Linked DNA regions of Struthio camelus. The protein of the gene in region 1 binds, or shares a complex with, the protein of each later gene. Links are inferred from orthologs where the notes say so. Each region holds a gene or a part of one and is shown on either strand. Other genes may lie near its edges.

Region 1 (10,167 bases):
GGCAAACATTGACATCAGTAGCAGTTAGCCTGCAATAGTAACATCTATAGTATTAGCATTCCATTAATTTTGTAGACCAGTTAAACTTCAGTATTTAAAAGGTCAGTCTCCAAAATGCCTACAAGCTAAGACAGAAGGGCAAGTTCCACAGCAGATACGTAATACAGAGCATGTACATGACACAACACTTGGCAGAACAGGACACAAATGTAAACAGAACTACGGATCTATGGTCAAGGTTTCTACCACCCATTCTAGAGAAAATGCTTTAGTTTGCATCGATAATAGGCTCCTGTTCACTACATGAAACAAAACCCAGTAGCAAACACAGCAGCACTGAGACAAGGCAAGAAGGCAAGACAAGCACTGAGACAAGGCAAGAAGTTGCCAAAGTGAGAGGGGGAGAAAATAGTTATTTTTGCTACCTTATGTTATTTGAAAAAAGCCAGGGAGGTTTGCTACAAGAATTTTTTGCTTCATTTTTGACTCAGAAATACACGTATGACTAACTTTGCCTCTTCTCATTTTCTGAAATGTCTCCTAGAAAGTCACAGACTCATCAATCTTGATTGAAGACAACCTGAGACAAATATGTTTTCTTCCAAACATGTCCTAGGCCTTCAATCTACCTAAACACTTTAATAAAAATAACTGAGGATAAAAAGTTAAATAGTCCTCAAAGAAACTTGCGTATTTCCAATTTAAAGGTAGGAACAAAAATCTTTTTAGTTACACTTTGAAATGATGTTTTCCAACAAGAGTCTTCAAGAAAAGGCTTCAAAAAATTAACTTGATCTCAAGTAGCATTACCACAAAAACTTGATGTTGAATGAGGCTGAACAGAGACCATTTTCCCCAGCTTAACTTATAGAATAAGACTAGAGAGGAAGAAAAAGAATAGTAAAATAACTAGTAATGAGCATGGAAAAGTGAGGGGAAAACTAAGAAAATATGAAATAACTTGCTTTCTTTTTTTTTCATTTAGTGTTTTAAATGTCATTTGTGTCCCATTTCTAGGGTGAGTGAGCACAGTGTTCTCTCTTATACGTGTTTTAAGGCAGGAAGGACGGTCTTGTGTTTGAAGCAGAAGACTAGGAGTCAGGCAACTGAGGTTCCCCTGGGGACTCTTGGATCTCTTGCTCTCCTGCACAGCAGCCCTTCAACAGCCTTACACAAAAGTTTTTGCGTCCACAGAGCGGAGGTAATACCTTACAGAACTGATATGAACACTAGCTGCATTTGGAATACACGGTAAAGTCTCTGAAGTGTTACATAAGCGTAGATGTTAATATAGACGTACATCGCCTGGTACAGGCTGAGCTGTATGGAAAGCACAAGCAGCCACTGACTTCAGTAAAAGTCTTCCTGATACATCACCAGGGGAAAATCAATTATTCTCCCTCCTCCCTAACCCTAAAACAGATGCGACTCCCCCCTTCCAGAATTGTTGCCTTTACTTTGAAGGTCCGAGTTTCATTTTGCAGCCGGTTCCCTGCTTTCTTTACCGGGAAAGTCGCGTACTTGAATTTTACAGGTTTTTGCTTTAAAACTGCATTTCCAAGTCACATTACCATCCATCCACTTTTAACACCGAAGTCAGCTGGGTGCCCGACAGGACATAAAACACCCCCGTCAGCACCAGGGCTCCCGCAGACGAGAGCAGCCTGCGGCGATCAGCCCAGCCTGCACAGCAAGCTGCGCACGGGCAGCGGGTGCCGGCCAGCCACCCCGCAGGAGCCGCGGGACGCCGCAGCCGCCACCGCAGGCTCCTCTCCGCAGCCGCACCAGGCAATTCAAACCTCGCAGCGAGGCCGCTCCCGGCCCGGCCCTACCGCTGCAGCCGAGCAGCCCGGGCCCCTCCGAGCAAGGCGGGCAGCCGCGGGGCTGCGAGGCGCCGCGCAGGGCCGACGAGTGACCTCAGGACACCTCCGAGGCACACCGAGCAAATCTCACGCCAGCCGGGGCAGCCTGTCCTGAGCTGACACCGCCCGCCACGCCGAGCAGCCGGCTCCTAAGACCCGTCACCGGCGGGCCTCGTCGTCTGCGGCCGCGATTCAGATAAATTAAGTTTCGTGCTGCACCTCCCTAACCTAACCCAGACGCATTAATCCTCGCACTCTCCCAACAGTCCCCCACGGCGCCTGCCTGCCTCCTTCCCCCCCCACACCCCCCATTCCCTTTCTGCAAATCCCCAATAAACTTCCCTCTCTCCTCCTCCTCCTCGGCCGCCCCCTCCCCCGGGAGGCGGGTGGGGCCCGCCTCGCCGCCACCTCCGCCGCCGCCCAACCGCCCCTCGCGCGCCCCCTCCCTCCGTCCCCCCCCCGCCGCCTCCACCACCGCGCGGCGCGGGGGGGGTGAGGAGGGGCAGGCCAACGGGAGGAAGGCGGGGGGGGGAGAAGGAGGAGAAGGGAAGGACGAGCGTCGCGAAGGGGGTTCCGCGCGGAGCAGCCAATGGGCGGCGGGCAAGGGGGGGCGCCGCGCGCGGCACGCCGGGAGGTGTAGTTCCCCGCCGTCGCCATTTTGTGGCGAGGGAACTACAACTTTCCCGCGAGCAAGGACAATTCTCGGGCCCTGCGCGGAGCCCCGCCGGCGAGGCCAGGTGCTGCCAGCGCGGCGGGCCCCGGTGCATGCCAGAGCAGGGGGACGTGAGGCGGGGCAGGGCAGGGCAGGGCAGGGCCGGGGCGGAAGGAGAGACCTTGGCAGACAGGAGGAGTGAGGCTGCTGCGGGGCGGGGAGGGGAGGGGGGCAGGGCAGGGCGGCCGAGCGTGCTGTGCGTTGAGGGACCGTCGCCAAATTCCCCGCTCGGGCTGTGCTGCAGGGGGGCAGCGGCGACCTTGGCCGCCGAGTGGCCGCACTTAAAAACCTTAAAAAAAAAAAAAAAGAAAGAAAAAAGAAGACGAGGGGGGAAGAAGGAAAAAAGAAAGGAAAAAAAAAAAAAAGGAAGGCGTGTGACGCTTAACCTGCATGAAGTGTAAGCGAGGCCTGTTGCATGCGTTGAATGCAGCGAGGCCGGGTGTTGCGGCTGCTGTCCCGGTTGGGAGTTAAGGCCAAGCCCTATCTGGGGTGTGTGTATGTATGTGTGTGTGTGTGTGTGTGTATATATATATGTATATACATACACACACACACACGGGCGCGCGCGCACACACACATACACACACACACATACATATATATTAAAAAAAAATCAGGTCCATTTAAAGTTGCTGCCGGAGAGCTGTTCTCATTGGTTAGGGGGAGCTGGAGGAGCAGAGACACACACAGTGCGTGCAGCCCTCGCTGCTGCTGCTGGGGCTGCTGCTGTTGCTGCTGCTGCTGCTGCTGGGGCTGCTGCTGCTGCTGCTGCTGCGAGTTGTCTCTGCTGCTTTCCCTGCTGCAGCAGCACAAACGTGACTTCCAACATTTTTATTTATCTTCTCCTTTCAACCCCGTTCCTTTTCCAAGATGTAACTACAGCTCTGACACTAAGGACCTGCAGATCGCTTAGGTGGCTTGAGCAAGAGAAAAGGGGATATCAAGGGCGTCGTTTTTTGTGTTTAGGGGGAAATTTTCCATTACAATGTTTCACTAAAGTGATTTTTTTTTTTGCTTCCTTCGCATTCGTCTCTTCTTCTTCTTCTTTTTTTTTTTTCATCCCCCATATCTCGGATTTATTGCTAGGAGAATCACATTGTGAGGAAAGAAAGTCGGATTACAAGATACCACTACAAACAACCCCCTCCCCCCAGGATTTTTCGGTATTTTTTTTTTAAATTGTCGCGGCTTTAATTCATGAAGCAATTGTCCCCTTTTGCAATCAGAATTTGGATACCAGAATGAGCAAAGAAAGACCCAAGAGGAATATAATTCAAAAGAAATACGTAAGTGGTCATAACATATATCATTTGACTCCCAGTTTTAGGAAATGGCAGTGAATGTCAAGTTTATAGCTAATCCTGCAGCTCTAAGGCTTTTAAAACAAATGTAATGCTGAATTTTATTTTTCTGTGGTGTGGTGGGGGAGTTTCATAGGCCCCTTTTAATGGGAAAACCTTCTATGCAGTTTGGTTATAAAACCAGATTTGTGTAGCGATACCTCCAGTGAATAAATGTATTGACCTCAAATGACACAATCATAATCTAGTTTTAGATGAAAGGCAGGGAGCTCGGGGGGCTGCTGTGATAATGTAACGAAACTGCATTTTCAAGCGGTTTTATTAATATTGCGCTTTGCATGCAAAAGAACATATTTGACGATATGCGTGTGTATATATTCCTGCCTGGTGAAGCCACTGTGGTTGTTGAAAGCCCTTTAAGTTGAAATCGAGTGTCTGGTTATGGCGAGCTTGTTTCTTGCACTACCACATCAAATCTAATGTATGTGATCGTTTGCTTATCTGGCTCGCAATAGAAAGCAAACCAGTTGGGGATCGTGTTGCAGGGAATGCGTTTGTTGGGATTGCCTTTAATAATGGGAAAATGGCTCGGTGTAGTTTAAAAATTCATTATGATGGCTTGAAAATTTGGGAGAATACAGTGCAGCCCGGGCTGTATTTCTGTCTCTCTTTATTCAACCGCTTAACCAATCCCTCGTAATTGTCTAATCCTTTAAACATATAAATGTGCATGGATAGTTGGATTTTTGTTCGTGCTCCAGTTACGTTTTGATTGGCATAGGGGAGTTTTTCTTTACGTTTGGAAAAACTGAGGGGATTAGCCAAATATGCAGTAGAGCGAATAATGATTTTTATCTGCATGTTTAAAAAATTCTTCATTTTGTGGAGAGAAAAAAAAGGAGTTGCTTTAGGGTGTGTGTGATGCGACACTTAAAAAGTTGTAGTTTATATGGTACGTATCATTTGTGCTATTTTTTTCTGCGGGGGGGGGGGATATGTGTGTTTCTTTGAAGGGAGGGTGACCTTCGGGACACTTTACCTTGTTATTATATAGATTTCATAAAAACTGCAGTTGACTTCAGATGACTGTTTCTATCGATTTTCGACCCATTAAAATGTAATTTAGAGGGACGTGAGATTAAACAATAATTAAAAACTTCAGCCTATTCTCCGCCGAATTTTCGAATTAAAATATATCCGCATTGCAGAGGAATTGGGAGTCTGAAGCTGACTAGTTTAAAGTATTGCATCCAAACAGGAACATTGTGTAGAAAGTCTAGCGAAACATGTAAGACGTCCACGTTTCCCAGGCAGTGAAACAAAGCAGAATGGGGGGGGGGGAGGGAGGAAGGAGGAAATTGTGATGTTAATAATTAAAAGGAACAGGGTGGGGGTAAACACCCCCAAACCTGTTATTTCTAAAACCTTTCGCAGGTTTGTGGGAGCGAACAATGCAGCGTTACTCTGGCTACACTCATAGCGCTGGGCAGAGAATTAGTAAAACTACTGTCAGCCCCTCAAGCCCCACGGGGGAGGTATGAGGTACACATGTGAGCATGCTAGGGGAGACAATGTATCTTGTGTTACAAGTTTTAACTTGGCGGCGGCAAATCGCTTTTTTCCCTTTTTTTTTTTTTGCGCCTCTTTTTCCTTTTTTTTTTTCTCTTTTTCCCTTCCTCCTCCTCCTCTCTTTTTGGAAGGGGGAAAGAGAGCGAGCGCGGGGAGGGGAAGGCGGGGGGAGAGTGCGGGGGCGAGCGGGCTGCCGTGCGCCTCGGCGGGGGCGCGGGGGGCGGCGCGCGGCGGGGCGCGCTGGCGGCGGCGGCGGCGGCGGCAGCAACAGGTTACGCGGGATGTCAGCGCGAGCCGCGGGCTCCCGGCCACGCCGCCCGGCCGGGGCCAGGTTCGCCTCGCTCCCGTGACGTCACAAAGGGAAGGGCCTGCGCGCCGTGGAATCTTCGTCGCCTCGGCGCTCCGGGGCCCCCCCCCCTCTTCCTCCTCCTCCTCCTCCTCCTCCTCCTCCTCCTCTCCCGCCCCCGGCGTGACGTCAGAGCCGAGGCGGGCCGCGGCGGTTGGGGCGGGGGGAGGCCCCGGGGCGGCGGGGGCCGAGGCCGGCCTGGCCCCGCACCAGGTGAGCAGGTGCCGGGCTCCGCTGCCCTGCCCCGGCCCAACCCGGCCCGGCTCGGCCGAGGGGCGCCCTGGTGACCGTGGGCCGCCCGGTTTGGGGGCGCCCTCCCTGCGGCGAAGGTCTCTGAGGTCCTTGGGCCCCGCTTCCCCCCCCCACCCCCCGCCGCCTCCTCCCCCCCCCCCCCCCGGTGGCGGTGCGCGGCTTGGCAGCGCCGTGGGGCGCTGCGGGGCGAGCGGCGCCCCCGCGGGTGGCGGCAGCCCCCGGGATGCTGGCGGGGTAATGACATGGCATGACACCTTTCTTTTTCCTGTGACCTTTTGAGCGGTGCAGCATCATAGCAGAGCATGCTGGGCAACGGCTTCCTCCTAGCAAATGCCAGGCAGGTCTTTTGTCTGCCTGCTCGGGCTGCAGGTGCGAGCGAGCGCGTGCGCACCCACAACTTTGGGCAGCTGTCACCTGGCCCCAGCCTTCGCAAAGGTGACTTGCGCCGGTGGCTGCACGCGTAACCCGCCCTCCCCAGTTAGTCTTTCCTCTTTTTGCCTCTTCACCAGTAATGTCCTTCGGCTTCGCGTTGAGGCGCAGTTGTTGATCACACACAAAAGTGCGTCCTGGGTCTTTGGGTGACTCACAAGTTGGGAGTCCGCGCTCAACGCTTCAGTAGATCTGGAGATGTTGTCGTTTTAGGTGACCTGGAAAATTTGCCACTTGAAGTTCACAGTCGCTGAGGAAAGGCAGTCCCTCTGTATTTTACTGTCATGAGTAATCTTATGATCTCTTTGTATGGAAGAGCTGGCTGCTAGGAATTCCTGTGGAGCTGCTGTACGGGAGCAGAACAATGGTCCACCTAGTGTCATATACTGCCTGTGTGGCTGGCTGAATGTGATGCTTTATGGTAAACAAAGGTCTGAAGTAAGAAGGTATGACAGTCGTGCTAGTGAGTAATACCTTGTCATAAGTAGCAAGACGATGAGCAAACCCACTCAACTAAACAAAAACAAAGTACAGGCTTGGTGGTGTGCCACAGAGCTGAGATCCTCACATCACTGCCGACTGTCATATTGCAACTGGCGTCTGTTTAGACCATTACTTTTCATTTACAAAATGAATTCTGAAAACAAAAAGGCAGTGAGAACAATGGAGTAAAACCTACGTGTTGTAAGCTGCTTGCTGCTTCCGTACAGCTTGACTTGCTGCTTTGTAAATAATGGTAATTAAAAGTTCCTTTAAACTTTGAATGTATTATCTTTGCAACTGTTAACCCAGGAATGAGGAAATCCGTGTATATATGTCTTTTTTTTCCCTGCTCTTTAAAAATGATATCACTTAATTTTTAAAAGAACTATGGCTGACTCATACAAATCTTTCTTCTCACTTTACCCTCCTCCTTCTCAAACATCTTTACATATCAAATATTGCCTTTTGGCTCAAGCCTCAGAAAACTGACAGCTTTGTAAAGCATCAGCCGAGAAGCCAGACTGCATTCGGTATGCGCTTGGAATTAATAGTTCTTAAATAAAAACCTTTGAAGTCTTAAGCATAATTTCACAGGTGCATTTTTCTGCCCGTTTTTGTGATGTCAAATAGCAAATCTTCTGTTCTTTCTGGTTTAGGTCTTGAAGTAACAGACCTGGATTACTGTCTTAAAATACTTGCATAGTTCTGCCACGGTAGCAGATGGCAAAATATAATTAAGTAATAATGTCACTACTGTCTCCTTGTGTGATTTGTTTCGTTGTCCTTGCAGAGGTAAAAGTGCTGTAGTCTGCCATAAGGTGACACGCTTCACCTAAAGACAGCCGCGTAAGCCCCTCAAACAGGGTCAACGGGGCCTGTAGAGAATTAGTGTATTGCAGACATCTGAGGAGAGCTCCTCTCAGTGCTGCCGGTTTTTTAAACAACACTTTGTGCTTGGGGGCGTATTTATAGCACGATCTGAAAGAGCGCTACATATGTTTAAGTAATACGTGTATAAATTGTGTTACAGCAAAATCCTCAATATCTCTGTGAGAGGAGCAGGCACGAAATTGCCTCGCTTATCAGATCGGGTTCTTGAAACCCGGCTGCTGCGGGATGCCGCCAGGCTGCAGGTGGGTAGGTGGGTGATGGTGGCCTGTGGGGCTCCCGGCGCCTTCCCCAGCGCTGTGGGGTGGGGGGCTGCCCGGGGCAGGGGGCAGGTGGTGGTTTAGGGCTGGCGCGGTGGTAGGGCAGCGCCACCTCCTGAGGGACGGACGTTTTGTGTGCAGGGGCACAGCAGACTCGGGGTGGGTGCCTCCGTCCCCCCAGGGCTTCAGCCCCTCCATGTGGGGTTTCCTCTTTTCCCACCCTCCCCCCCCACCAACGCTCTTGTCCAGGCCCAGAACCAAGGGGGTCTTCTGAGTCCTTACCAGTTCCTGCAAGGAGATAGGTAAACCCATCGGTGATAGCAATAGTAGCATTCATTATGCATTGTTGTTTATTTCGGATGACCTTCTGCAGCTTTCTTACGCTGGGTGTTTCTTAGGTTTGCGGTGACAATTCCAGTGTCACACCTCCTTCTGCAAAATAGCATGCTGTGGGTTTTTTTTTTAATCTGTAGATTTTTAGCTAACAGTGTAAGAATGCTAGTCAGGCTTAAGATCTGTCTTAGTTTGGGTTCTTTTTAAGCTCGTTAAGCTGGTCTGTTGAGATGTTATGTTGCTGGTGGCTATAGGGTGGCATGAACTAGAAACTAGTAATTTTTTTTTTTTTTAATGGACATGAACTATCTACTGTGAACAAATGCCTCGCACTGAGGTACTAACAGACTCCTGCTCACTCCAATGGACTATAAGCCAGAAGTCTGTGTAAGATGCTCTCCAGAATGAATTCTAATGAATCAAGAGCCCTGTGAAAAGTTCTTAATGATTCATTAGGCACTTTCACCTCTTTTAAGAGGTCTGCTAAGCCAGTATTAAGAATATACTACCCTTTCTTTTTCTATGGAAGTAAAATAATAGTTAATATTATGAATGTTAAAGTGTGGTATAAACGTCAGCTGATTTTGTAATGCAGTAGCTTTCCCTCCATTTTATTGTTTGATGAAACAGAAAGAAGTCTAAATTACTTGCCTAAAGCAACATACTGTAACCGTGGCAGCGATGGAACTAATCTGTATTTCTGCAATCTAGTCCAATACTCTGTCCTGTAGCTTATGCTATCTTGCTATAAGGCACAGCATCTGCTACAAAGGCAGTACTTGATGTGGTTCAAACTTTCTCTGTTCAAGGCCTTTTTTCCTTAGTTACGGTCTGGACTCACTGTTAGATTGCCAGTATATTTTTAACATAATACAAAAAAAAGCAAGATGCATTTCAGTATTGGTTCTTCATTTTTTTTGAGTGATGATCATACGCTGCAGCTGATAAAGACCAGTTGATAATCGTGATGACTCAGCTGTGGGAGTATTACATAAAGTAGGTCAAATTTTAAATCTCATAATATGAAACTAAGAGACTCCAGATTTTAAATTTGTATTTTGTTTGTACATATTACTGATATTTCCTGGTTTTAACGTAACTGAAAGTTCTGGGGGAGTACTTTTTTTTTTTTTATTTATATTCTATAGTGACCGAGTTCAATCAACTTTAACTTGGGGAGAGGGGAAACACCAGCTGCTTTCATTTCTTAAGTTTCTAGTTTGCATCACTCAAGTGAAAGGAAGGCTTAAATGTAATTTTAATATAGGGAAAAGAAAAACAGAGACACGTTTCTTATTTTTTATTAGAAGTACTCAGCTTTGTGTGATTTAGCAGATGTGGCATTTGCAGAGGAATACATGCACTGCTGCAAAATCCAAATTTGCATTTAAAACATTCTGTTTTTTCCTCTTGGCCTTTGCATGGCTTTCTTCTCAGCTATAAATGTAAACCAAGTGTAAATGATGCATTGTTTGCCTTAGTGGGCAGACAGTCTGAAAACAATAGTGCTGATGGATTTGACTGCCTCTGTGCAAGATTAACGGGACATTAACTTTCAAGTCTAATAATGCAAATTTCAGCGTTGCCAAACTTGAACTTCCCTTAAATGTTTCTTGATGCTGATGGCCCTAAATGTCCCTATGCTGCTGGTAAAACTTCATATTAGTGATTCAGCTTTTCATCTTCTAATACAAATCTCCTTAACCTGTTGTGATGACTTCAGAGATCAGGG
Region 2 (9,963 bases), on another chromosome or scaffold:
TTATTGAAAAACAACAAACTGTGCCAAGTAAAATAATGTATACGAGGAAATACAGGGTACTTTGGGATAAGGAGAAAATGTCTCTCTGATACTTTACATAGATGTATTGGGCAAATCATAATATACATGAAAAATATAGGCAATATTCATGACAAAGAGGTGCTCTATTTGCTTGTATAGTATTACATGCACTATTGTTTTATCTATTAATATGATGTACTGCATTACCTATTTAAATTTTCTAGTGCAGCATTTGGAAAACTTTCTGAATAGATTCAAAGAAGAGCACATCTCATTTTTAGCTTCTGGCACAAGATGACAGGATTAATACTTAGATAGATATACCAGTGTAAAAAATATTGCAAGTCATGTTTGCTTTTGAAGCAAATTCTGAGTTGGTTCTCAGTGGTGCCAATAATACTCATACTAAGAGTTCATCTAATACTCAACTAATAGCTCATCTTAGCTACATAGTACCTATTTTAAATTCTGTGTTTGTTTGGGTTTTTTTGCAACAGCTTATAAACCCTATAAATGAAAAGCATTATGAGGCATTCTAATTCCTTGAATTTAAAGCCACATAATATTTCACTTATAAGGAATCTTCATGTTTTCTTACTTGTTTTGCTTTTTGCATTTGTTTTCCTTCAGTATCATGTGGTAGCAAATTTAATGTTACTGTAGACTTTAAAGAAGAGGTTTTATGTATTTGTAATGTATCTGATTCCTTTTGATTATATCACAGTGTCTATGGAAAGTGGGCTTCCTCTTACTATTTGTACTTATATACAACTTAACACAAAGATGCCCTGGGTTTTCAGGGTGTTATGGTAGTATAAACGCAATATAATTGATATTAGAACGTGTTTTTGGATAACCTCCAGAACGATAGAATGGGGTTTCCCATTCCTGAACCAGCTATTAATTCTTTTTGTAGCCCTCGTGATTTTTAAATTTCTCTGTTCCTTGTTTTTCCCATTCCCCAAATGGGCATAGTTACATTTAACTGAGCTGTCTGGAGTTTTCTCAAGTTTCATGATCCAAGATCACCAGAACGCCATTTAATTTTTTTCTCCTAGTTACCACTGAAATTAGCTCTCTGGTCTAGCTCATGGCATGAATTTCACAGCCAGCTGTGCAGGCCCAACAGAAGGGGCAGTGTGTCATCAGGAGAGCTGTAACAAAACATGGGCAAGGGAGGAGGCGGAAGAAGGACCCTAGCAATATTGCCACAGAGTGTTTTGTAACGCTAGTCTACAGCCTCAGCTTTGGGTCACAGCCTAATGGGGCTATAGAAGAGGGACTCTAGGCAAACATGCATTCCCAGCAGGCTTCCTCGAACCAACCTAACTGAGACGTGATGTTTCTTATGGTCATTGCCCTGCTTTCTAAACAAATATGGGGAAAGATTAAAGGCAACTTTAAAAAGAAAAAGAGTGCAGGGAGTTTAAAGGGAGGATTAACTGGCTGCTGGAGGAGAGGGTGGGGTTAGAAATGCAATTGAAGGATGAGGTATGAGGTAGTTTCAGTTTGGTCTGAACAGAAGGGTGAGAAATGAGTGCTGGATGCTTAGCTGAAGGAACGGGAGGTTGCAGCCTCTTCCTCGAGACCTTGGATTTGGACAGGGCAGGGTGGGGCACAAAGGGAAGGGTGCAGTGTCCAGAGGCTGCTGAGCAGGCAGATTATTGTGAGCAAGGTGAGTCATGAGGTTCAGGCAGCAGGAATTTCCTGCAGTGTTTAAGACATACATGCGGAGGCAGGAGGAGGAGAAAAGAGGTCAGTGACCAAGTGTCTTGTTTTACAGAATTTCCCCCATGCATTCTAACAAGTACAAGACAGGCTGTCATTTTTCCTGTATCTTATGCCTATGGTATTTTTTTCCCTCTCTTTTTATAGACCTTTCTCTCTGTTTTGAAATATTTTGTTTGCATACTATACCTTATAAGAGTATCTTGATGCTGATCAACATTAGGAAAAAAACTCAAAACATTGCATAAAAAGTACCAAAGCTGAGCTACTTCTGATGATCTCACTGAAGTGTCCTTTAAAAAAAACCAAAAACCTGCAAAGTTGCTGCGACTCAAGAAAAGAAATTACTTTTTCGGAGTGCGCGTGCTCATCATTGACTCTGCTGTCAAAGTGAATGCACCTGCACCTTTGTGTTCCTGAGGTAAGACAATAACAGGTATGCTCTTAATTTCTTCTCCCTGCTCTGCTGTGTCTGCAATGCAACATAAATCTCTCTCAGAGATTTGTTAAGCTTGTTGTTTGTTCTTCTGCTAGTGGAGAAGGATTCTGCTTGGACGCTTTACCACGAACAAGCTTTAGCTAGCTTATCTACTGACTTTTGTTTACTTTTGTACCTTGTTGAGAATATCTTTGGAGTACCAGAGATTAGCATGTCTCATCATAAGTCCTTCAGCTTTAAAGTATTGTCTCTGTTGTAATAGGATCATACCAAGTTAGACCGAGCATACCGGCAGCCCTTTGTGTGAATGAGAGAGTAACATCCACCCTTACAGTGTAAGTAAGTGGATGTGTAAATTCTTTTTTTCCTAAAGGATTTCCTAACAGCATGTCCCTTGCTTTGAGCTTTCATTAGACCATTTAAATATAACTAATTTTGATGCTTTTGCAAGTTCTAGACTCACCTGTTCTCACACAGAGCTCTTCTTTCAAGACTGGAGCCAGGGTTTCAAAAAGTCAAAAACCATAGAGAAAAAGGAGATTGCCTTTGCTAAGCTGGAAAATTTGTCACAGGAAAAACTTCAATAACAAGAGACTCAAGTCACCATTGCTGCTGCTTGTATTTGATTGACTTTATTGCAGTGCTCAAGCACCAAGTCTGGATTGAGGATTTGGTGGTCCTGAAAACAGAACAGCACACCAAGAGATCATCAAAGAGTATTCCTTTGATGACTGCTGCAGTACTAACCCCTTTGGTACTGATCTCTTGCTTAAATGCTAACTGCTTTCCATTAGGCAGACTCCATACTGTCCTTCCTATTCATTTGTGCCCTGAGGTTCATTTCACTGGCCCTCTTTGAATAAACAAATGACTACCTAATGAACTGGCATCTCTACTGCTCCACTTAGGAGAGTGAAAAGTGAGAGGTCTGAATCAGCCAGTATGCTTTTGGTAAATAACAAATACGAGGAACCTTGGGGGCACTCATGACCTCAAGAAACCCAGACGGATAATAAAAAAAAAGAGTATAGAAATTTGATATTGTGGAATGTATTTGGACAATGTACACTAAGGTACATGGAGTTCTTTCAGATAAATAACTTTTTTTTTTTTTCTTTCCTTTTTTGCTCATATTCATAGGTTGTGAAAGGTGCCTTTTATGTAGCTCCATTACACGTTTTTGGTTTCTCATGACCTGGTACCTCTCTGATTCTGTCCCTCAATGCTACTGACCTTTAGACAACTCTAGAAAGGAAAGGAATTAATGGGTAAAGAGGCATAGGAATTGTTCTGGTTACTGCTGCCTTTTGACTGAGTCAAAAGGGTTCTCTTTTTCTTCTAAACCTCACTCTTACTGTGTGATGGGACTAGTGACAGTAACAGCCATGCAGGAGTGCCACACCTTTGTAACTGAAGGGGGAGGTATAGAGCAAATTGTTTCAGGTGGGGAAACGGGGGCGAGCAGAGATGATGCAGAAGCTGAGAGTTTGGTGACTATTCTAATGGACTTAGTAGAGCAATGATACATCTATTAAATAGATTAATTGGGATCAAGCAGTCCTCATCTTCAGTCTTGTCTACCTGCTCATTTTAAGCATTCTTACCAGTTCCATTTTCTAGACTAGTTCCATTCCAGGCTGAGTCTGGTTTCTAGAAATCTGAAAAACTATCATGACTTTTTTACTGTTGTTGTTTTTTAAAAAAATTGCTTATACTCATCCGCGCATTAAAGATGTTGTTAGTTTGACTTTAAAATTAATTCCATGCCCTGTCCCTTCGCTCCGGTACCGTGTTGCTCTTTCACTACCGTGACATTCTATTTTGATGTTGCTGCGCTAGAGATTGCTGACGTTGCTGCTAACAACTACTTTGTTGATGGGCTAGAAAACAACTCCAGTTATGCTAATGTAGGTCTTAGGAGCACCCTTTCCAGAGTTTAACCCAGTGCGGTTAACTTTTGCTTGAATGTAGGATCTCTGTGGATATGCCGGATACGCTTGCTGTAACTTGAACTGGTGATGTTCTTCCTATTATGCAGTTTGCACAATATTGTTTCTGGATTGAGTTGTGGTTCTGTGTTTTGTTGATTGCTTTTAAACTAAACTACCACCACTTCATAATTTTTTAAATGTGGCAAGCTCTGTAAGAGTTGGGTAAAGACTGACAAGATGTGCATGTGACATCTAAAACTCATATGGAATGGTATGTTATGCATTCAATTATTCCCCTCATCCCTCTAAAAATTTGTCAAACTGCCTAATTTCATCTGTTTTTTTTTCCTTTTCTACCCACCTTCCTGTTTTACTGCAAATCCCCCTCCTATCAACCTTTTCTAATCATTTCCACATGACAATTTTATCAAGTATTTCTTAATGTCTACATAACTAAAACGCTTGTCAAATAGCCAGTCAGGTTAGTCTGACATGATCTAACGTTAGTAAACTTTATCCCATTCTATGTTTACATTAAAATGCCTTTCTCAGTTGTTCTGAAGTCTTTGTATGTGATTGACAATCATCTTTTCATTTATCATTCACCTTTCCTTCTTAAATACATGCACCACATATTGTTACTAGATGGCACAGAGCCAAACTTAACAAGTTTACTAATCTCTGTCCCTCCAAAATGAAACTTGGTTTATCAAAAAGAGATTATCCAGTTTCCCCAGTTCTAGTACACTAAACTGTTTAGTTTTACTTCCACTTAAATGCAATCATTTCCATTTTGCATTTGCCATTAGTCAGTCATACTGCTTATGCCCCCACAGCCAACACGCTCCTTACTGAAGATGGAGGTTTCAGGCCATACCGAGTTTATTCTCTTTGCTCCCCCCTCACTGCATAGCTGGCCTACTTCTTCATCCCATTCCGTACTGCTGAAAACCTTTTTCTGTCTCCTTTGTGCCTCAGTTGAGCTTGTCTTTTGACAATTCCCACTCAGTAATGTCACATCTTGACCTGTACCCTGTAGCTCTCTTTGCTGAGGAGCCTTGTTTTTCCCTTTCTCATAAGCTCCATATTGTCCCCTCCTCCGACTCCCTTTAGTAACTATTAGTCCAGTCAGGCCTGGCGTCCCTACAGCTTCCTCCGCTTCCCCTTTCTTTCATGGATAGAAATTTCGCTAAGTTTTTTTCTCAGCTGTGGTTCCCGCTCTCTTTGCCCTGGCCGGCCAGCCGGCTACCCACAACTACCGGGCTACCCAACTTCAGCTTTTTAAAAAGATGAGGAGCCTGCTGCGGCAGTGAAGCCGGGGCTGCCGCGCCGCTGGGGTTATTTGTGCGAGTGAGGGCAGTGAGGGCAGGCGACGAGACTGCTGGCGCAACTCGCGGCCGGGAGGGACTTGTTCTCCCTTCCCGGGCTCGTCCTGCGGGACTTCCCCCTGCCTATGACTAAGTAGCGGCTCTGCCCACCCCCGCGACGCGGTGATTTTTCTGAGGGGAAGGCTGCTGCTGCTGCCGCTGCCGGGCGATGACGCGCCCGCTGCGAGCCGTTGGGAGCGAGGCAGAAGCCCCGCCCCTCCGCCCGCGGCGGGCTCGGCCGTTAACGCCCCTCCCGCGCGCCTCCCTCGCCCCCTCTGGAAACGCGACGCGAGGAGCCACTGCTCCGCCCTTCCGAGGTTTTTGTCCCCGGACGCGCGCCGTAGCGCGTGCGGCGACGGCAGCGGCGGGCGGCCCGGCGCCCCTCCTCTCTGCGGCTCGCGCCGCCGCGCGATTGTGCGGGTGAGGAGGGCCAGGGCGGGGGGAAGCGCGAGCAAGCGAGCGGGCGGGCGGGCGGGCGCGCGCGCGCGCCCGGGACACACGCACGCCCCCGCCCCCTCTCCCCCCCCACCCCACCCGTGCGCGCGCGCGCGCGCGCTCGCAGCGACTCGCAGGCGCCATGGCGGCCGCTCTGAGCGACATGGCGGAGCCGGAGGGGCTGCTGCTGCTGCTGCCCGGCGAGGCGGCGGCGGCGGCGGCGGCCGCCGCCGCGGCCGAGGAGGAGGAGGCGGCGGCCGCTGCCGCCGCCGGGGCTGGAGCCTCGTCGTCGCCGTCGTCCTCGGCGGCAGCGGAGGCAGAGTCGCTGCTGCTGTTGAACGGCGAGGCGGAGAGCATGTCGGAGCCGAGCCCGGAGAGCGCCAGCCAGGCCGGGGACGGAGAGGACGAGGACGACGAGGAGGAAGAGGAGGAGGAGGAAGAGGAGGAGGAGGAGGAGGAGGAGGAGGGCGGCGAGGAGGAGGAGAGCAGCCTGGTGGGCAGCAGCAGCAGCAGCACGAGCAGCGGCTGCTGCAGCGACGAGACCCGCTCGCTGAGCCCCGGCGGCAGCAGCGAGGCCGACGCCAAGGAGGAGCCCAAGGGCCCCCGGGGCAGCCAGGAGGACGGGCTGGGCCGCGGCGGCGGCGGCGGCGGGAGCAGCTCCAGCAGCGTGTCCAGCAGCGGCGGCGACGAGGGCTACGGCACCGGCACCGGCGGCGGAGGCGGCGGCGGCGGCGGCAGCAGCGGCAGCAGCAGCTGCAGCGCCACGTCGGGGGGCCGGCGGGGCAGCCTGGAGATGTCGTCGGACGGGGAGCCGCTGAGCCGCATGGACTCGGAGGACAGGTCAGTGCCTCCCTCCGCGTCCCGGGCCAGGGCCGGCGCTGGGCTCCGCCGGTGGCCGCGGCCCTGCCGCGGGCGCCATGTCCCGCCGCCGCGCGGCCCCGGGCTCCCCCGCGGGGGCCCCCGGGCGCCATCTCGGCGGCGGCGGGGCCGGGGCTGTCACGCCGCCCGCGGGGCGGCGGCGGCGGCGGCCGGCAGCCACAGGTTTCCCAGGCCAACTTGTGCCGCCCGGCGTGCGGGGCTTGGCGGCGGGGCAGAGCCGGCCCGCCGCCCCGCCTCGCCCTGCCTCGCCTCGCCTCGCCGCGGCTGTGCGGGCCCTGCCGGCCTGCGGGGGCCCTCGGGGGCTTCTGCCGCTTCTGCCCCGCCGACCCGGGGCGTGCGCGCTTGCGAGGGAGCCGCCGAGCTGCTGCAGAAGTCACTCACTTGGGTAGGTGCCTCGCTGATAACCGCCGCAAGTGCCCCGCTGGGTTACGAGCAGCACGGAGTAACGTGTGCTTAGGCGGTAGTGGTTGGCTGTTATTTCCCTTGGAAGCTGGTGTTTTCTCTTTGGAAGATGCTGAGGTTGTGTCCTGCATTGAAGGGCAGGCGGGATGCCCTAAAGCTTAAGGGTAGGAAGTGTTTTGTGGGCTTGTTCTGCCTGCGCCCGTGTGAGCCTCTCCGTGCTACGAACGAACAGAATGTCAATCTTTTCAAGCGCAAGGGGGAAAAAATAGCTTTTCCAAAATAAAAAGGTAGCTAGTCTTTCAGTATTAAGCACGCACAAGAAATAAGCCTGCACAGTATTAAGCGTGGCGTAATAATCAAATGTAAAAGTTATCTCTGTAGCAATGAATGTGAAGATTATTTGGGGTTTGGATCATCTTTCTTGTACTGAGACTTTAGCTTAATTCTTGTGGAAAGGCACAAATTCTTGCACGTGATTGAATTCTACCTTTCAGGTATTGTCTAGTCTATTATGTCAAGTACTTCTAAAGACTGTGGTTTATCTAGTGGCTTTTTCAGATGTATGTGCTATGGTTTAGTTGACAAGCTGAAGATAGGTTGCTTAAGCTGAAGATAGGATACTTAAAATAGTGTAGGTCTCTTTTCTGGTTTGTCCTTTCAAACAGTTTAAGAAGCTAGTGTGCTATTTTTCATCTCAGTTTGGCCTAAAAAAAGTATCTCATTTCCCTGTTAGAATTACAGTTAAGTAAAAACTACAATCTGATTTAAATCAAACAAACTTTTTCTTAAGACAAGTTCATTGTTAAAGTGTGAAGAATTGTGTGTCTTGGTCCAGATACGTATTTTCCGAATACATTAGACTGAATTCCGTATACCTATACAAGTACCCGTATTTCAAAAGTGTGGCGTCAGTAGATCTAGCCTCAGTTATTAAAAACAACTAAAGAGAACCCCTGTGAGTCAGTTCCCCAAAACCATGTAATTGGCCTGAAAGTCTTCAGACTACAGAGGAAAAAAATTCAGTTCTTTGGTTTCCATCTGACTTTTGAGACTTTAGGGTTCACTGGGGCCACGTTTTCTTTTCTCCATACTGTGCAAGATTAGAAAGCTTTTTTTGTGTGTGTGAAAGCTGAGATTTTACATGAAATCACATAAATACGGGAGTAGGCTTCTGGAAAAAACAGCAGATACGTAGTGGAGTTTTAAGATAATCTTTTCTTAGTTTTCGCCTAATCTAAATCTGATCCTAATCTGTCCCGAGTCCAGACCAATTATGAGTTTAGAAAATAACAGAAATGAGTTGCACGGGGTTTTCTGGTGGTAGAGTTGATGTTATGTCTTGCTTGTGCACTCTAAAGCCAGTGTCCTACTTTCTTTCTCTATCATTGTTTTTGTGTTTCTCTTGCTGTAGTGACATAGTTATATCTATGTGTATACCTCTTTGTTGCTCCTTTGCAATACCATTGGTACAGATTCACTTGCAGGAGTGAATCCTTTGTATTCAGCTGTTTAAATAAGGACTGTACCTTCTTTTCAATCTTCGTAAAGTTTTGTCTTGAGCTTCTAGGCGGAAAACATGGGGATGCCAGGAAGGCACTGTAGTTCACAGACACTTCACTGTAATTTCCAAGCCTGTTAGTTGAATTGGACAGGTAAAGAGCAATACTACTAAGAATGCCATTTGTTATTCCTAATGATGGAAAATTTCACTTTAGGTGCACTCCTTGCTGCAGCCTGGTAGACTGCCTTATTATTTTTGCTACATGTAGCCCAACAAGTTACTTGCTTGACCTACTGATCCAAATGACTGCTGTTCCCTGGCAGTGAGTCAGAAAATAGCATGTGCCTTTTAAAGGGTCAGCCAGATAAGCAGAGTGTTGTAGAAGGTAGGGGATGTGCAGAAAAGCTGAAGAACATGAAAGGTAGGATGGTGAAGTACTAGGGAAGAGCTGGGGATAGTTTAGACTTATAAAGGGACGTACAGGTTTATGATTAAATAATAAAATCCTTAAAGATTTAACCATTCATTCATTTGGGCATCTTTGTATTAAAGTATAAAATCTGTGACTAATAGAGAATGATATTTTATCTGTTAAGTGATATTAAATTTATCTGTTAAGTGTTATATGAAATAGTATATTTAATGGTGTTTCATGATCTTTGACTAATTGTGTCCTGAATAGAACTTCTGAAGTTCTGCCTCTGTAGTCCTAAACAACTTGGCCGATGCTTGTCTCCGTGTACTGCATAGTATGATTACCTGGGGGAGGGAAGAGAAAGAAAGAAAAACTGAACCAGCATGCTTGACTTGTATAGTCCCAGGATTAAGCAAAGGGAAACTAGTAGAAGGGTATAGTTGGTAAAGATTCTCCTGTTAAGACTGCTGTAGGCAGGTTTGGTAACATTCACGTCGTGCCCTCAGGCTTGGGATTTCTTTTTTGTGCTTCCTCTTTAGAAAATTTGAATAAATAAGAGGGTGTGGTGAGAGGGCCTGAATTCCATAAGTGATCAAATTCCTTTTTCTCTGTGCATGCTTTTATCATGTTCTGCAATTATCAATGAATTATCCATGTGATTTTTGAGTGAGATGGTATGAAATATAAAAATATACTACATGTGTTTGGGTCATTCGCAAGTTTTTCCTATTCAGCAGAAAATTTTTTAACTACTGTTCATCTACTGTTAATACTGATATTTTGAATGGATTTTGAGGGTATGTGTTAATAAAAAAAAAAAAAGATGTTTGGGGGCATTACTATAG

The links. The genes of interacting proteins can lie anywhere in the genome.
Region 2: the proteins of JARID2 (region 1) and AEBP2 are in contact, whole or in part, in a cryo-EM structure (PDB 8VNZ), measured with the Homo sapiens proteins. The link is inferred for Struthio camelus from reciprocal best matches to the Homo sapiens genes JARID2 and AEBP2. Residues at the interface, in NP_004964.2 of Homo sapiens: Ser148, Lys151, Pro152, Lys153, Thr154, Glu155, Asp156, Leu158, Thr159; in NP_001107648.1 of Homo sapiens: Arg407, Ala410, Ile411, Asn414, Leu415, Glu420, Ser421.

The regions. Positions count from the first base shown.
Region 1 is NC_090943.1:98,478,085-98,488,251, forward strand, and holds the start of JARID2 (protein Jumonji), read left to right. Parts: upstream 1-5,311; 5' UTR 5,312-5,326; coding exon 5,327-5,410; intron 5,411-10,167.
Region 2 is NC_090942.1:73,481,044-73,491,006, forward strand, and holds the start of AEBP2 (zinc finger protein AEBP2), read left to right. Parts: upstream 1-6,063; coding exon 6,064-6,761; intron 6,762-9,963. UniProt on the Homo sapiens protein: Acts as an accessory subunit for the core Polycomb repressive complex 2 (PRC2), which mediates histone H3K27 (H3K27me3) trimethylation on chromatin leading to transcriptional repression of the affected target gene.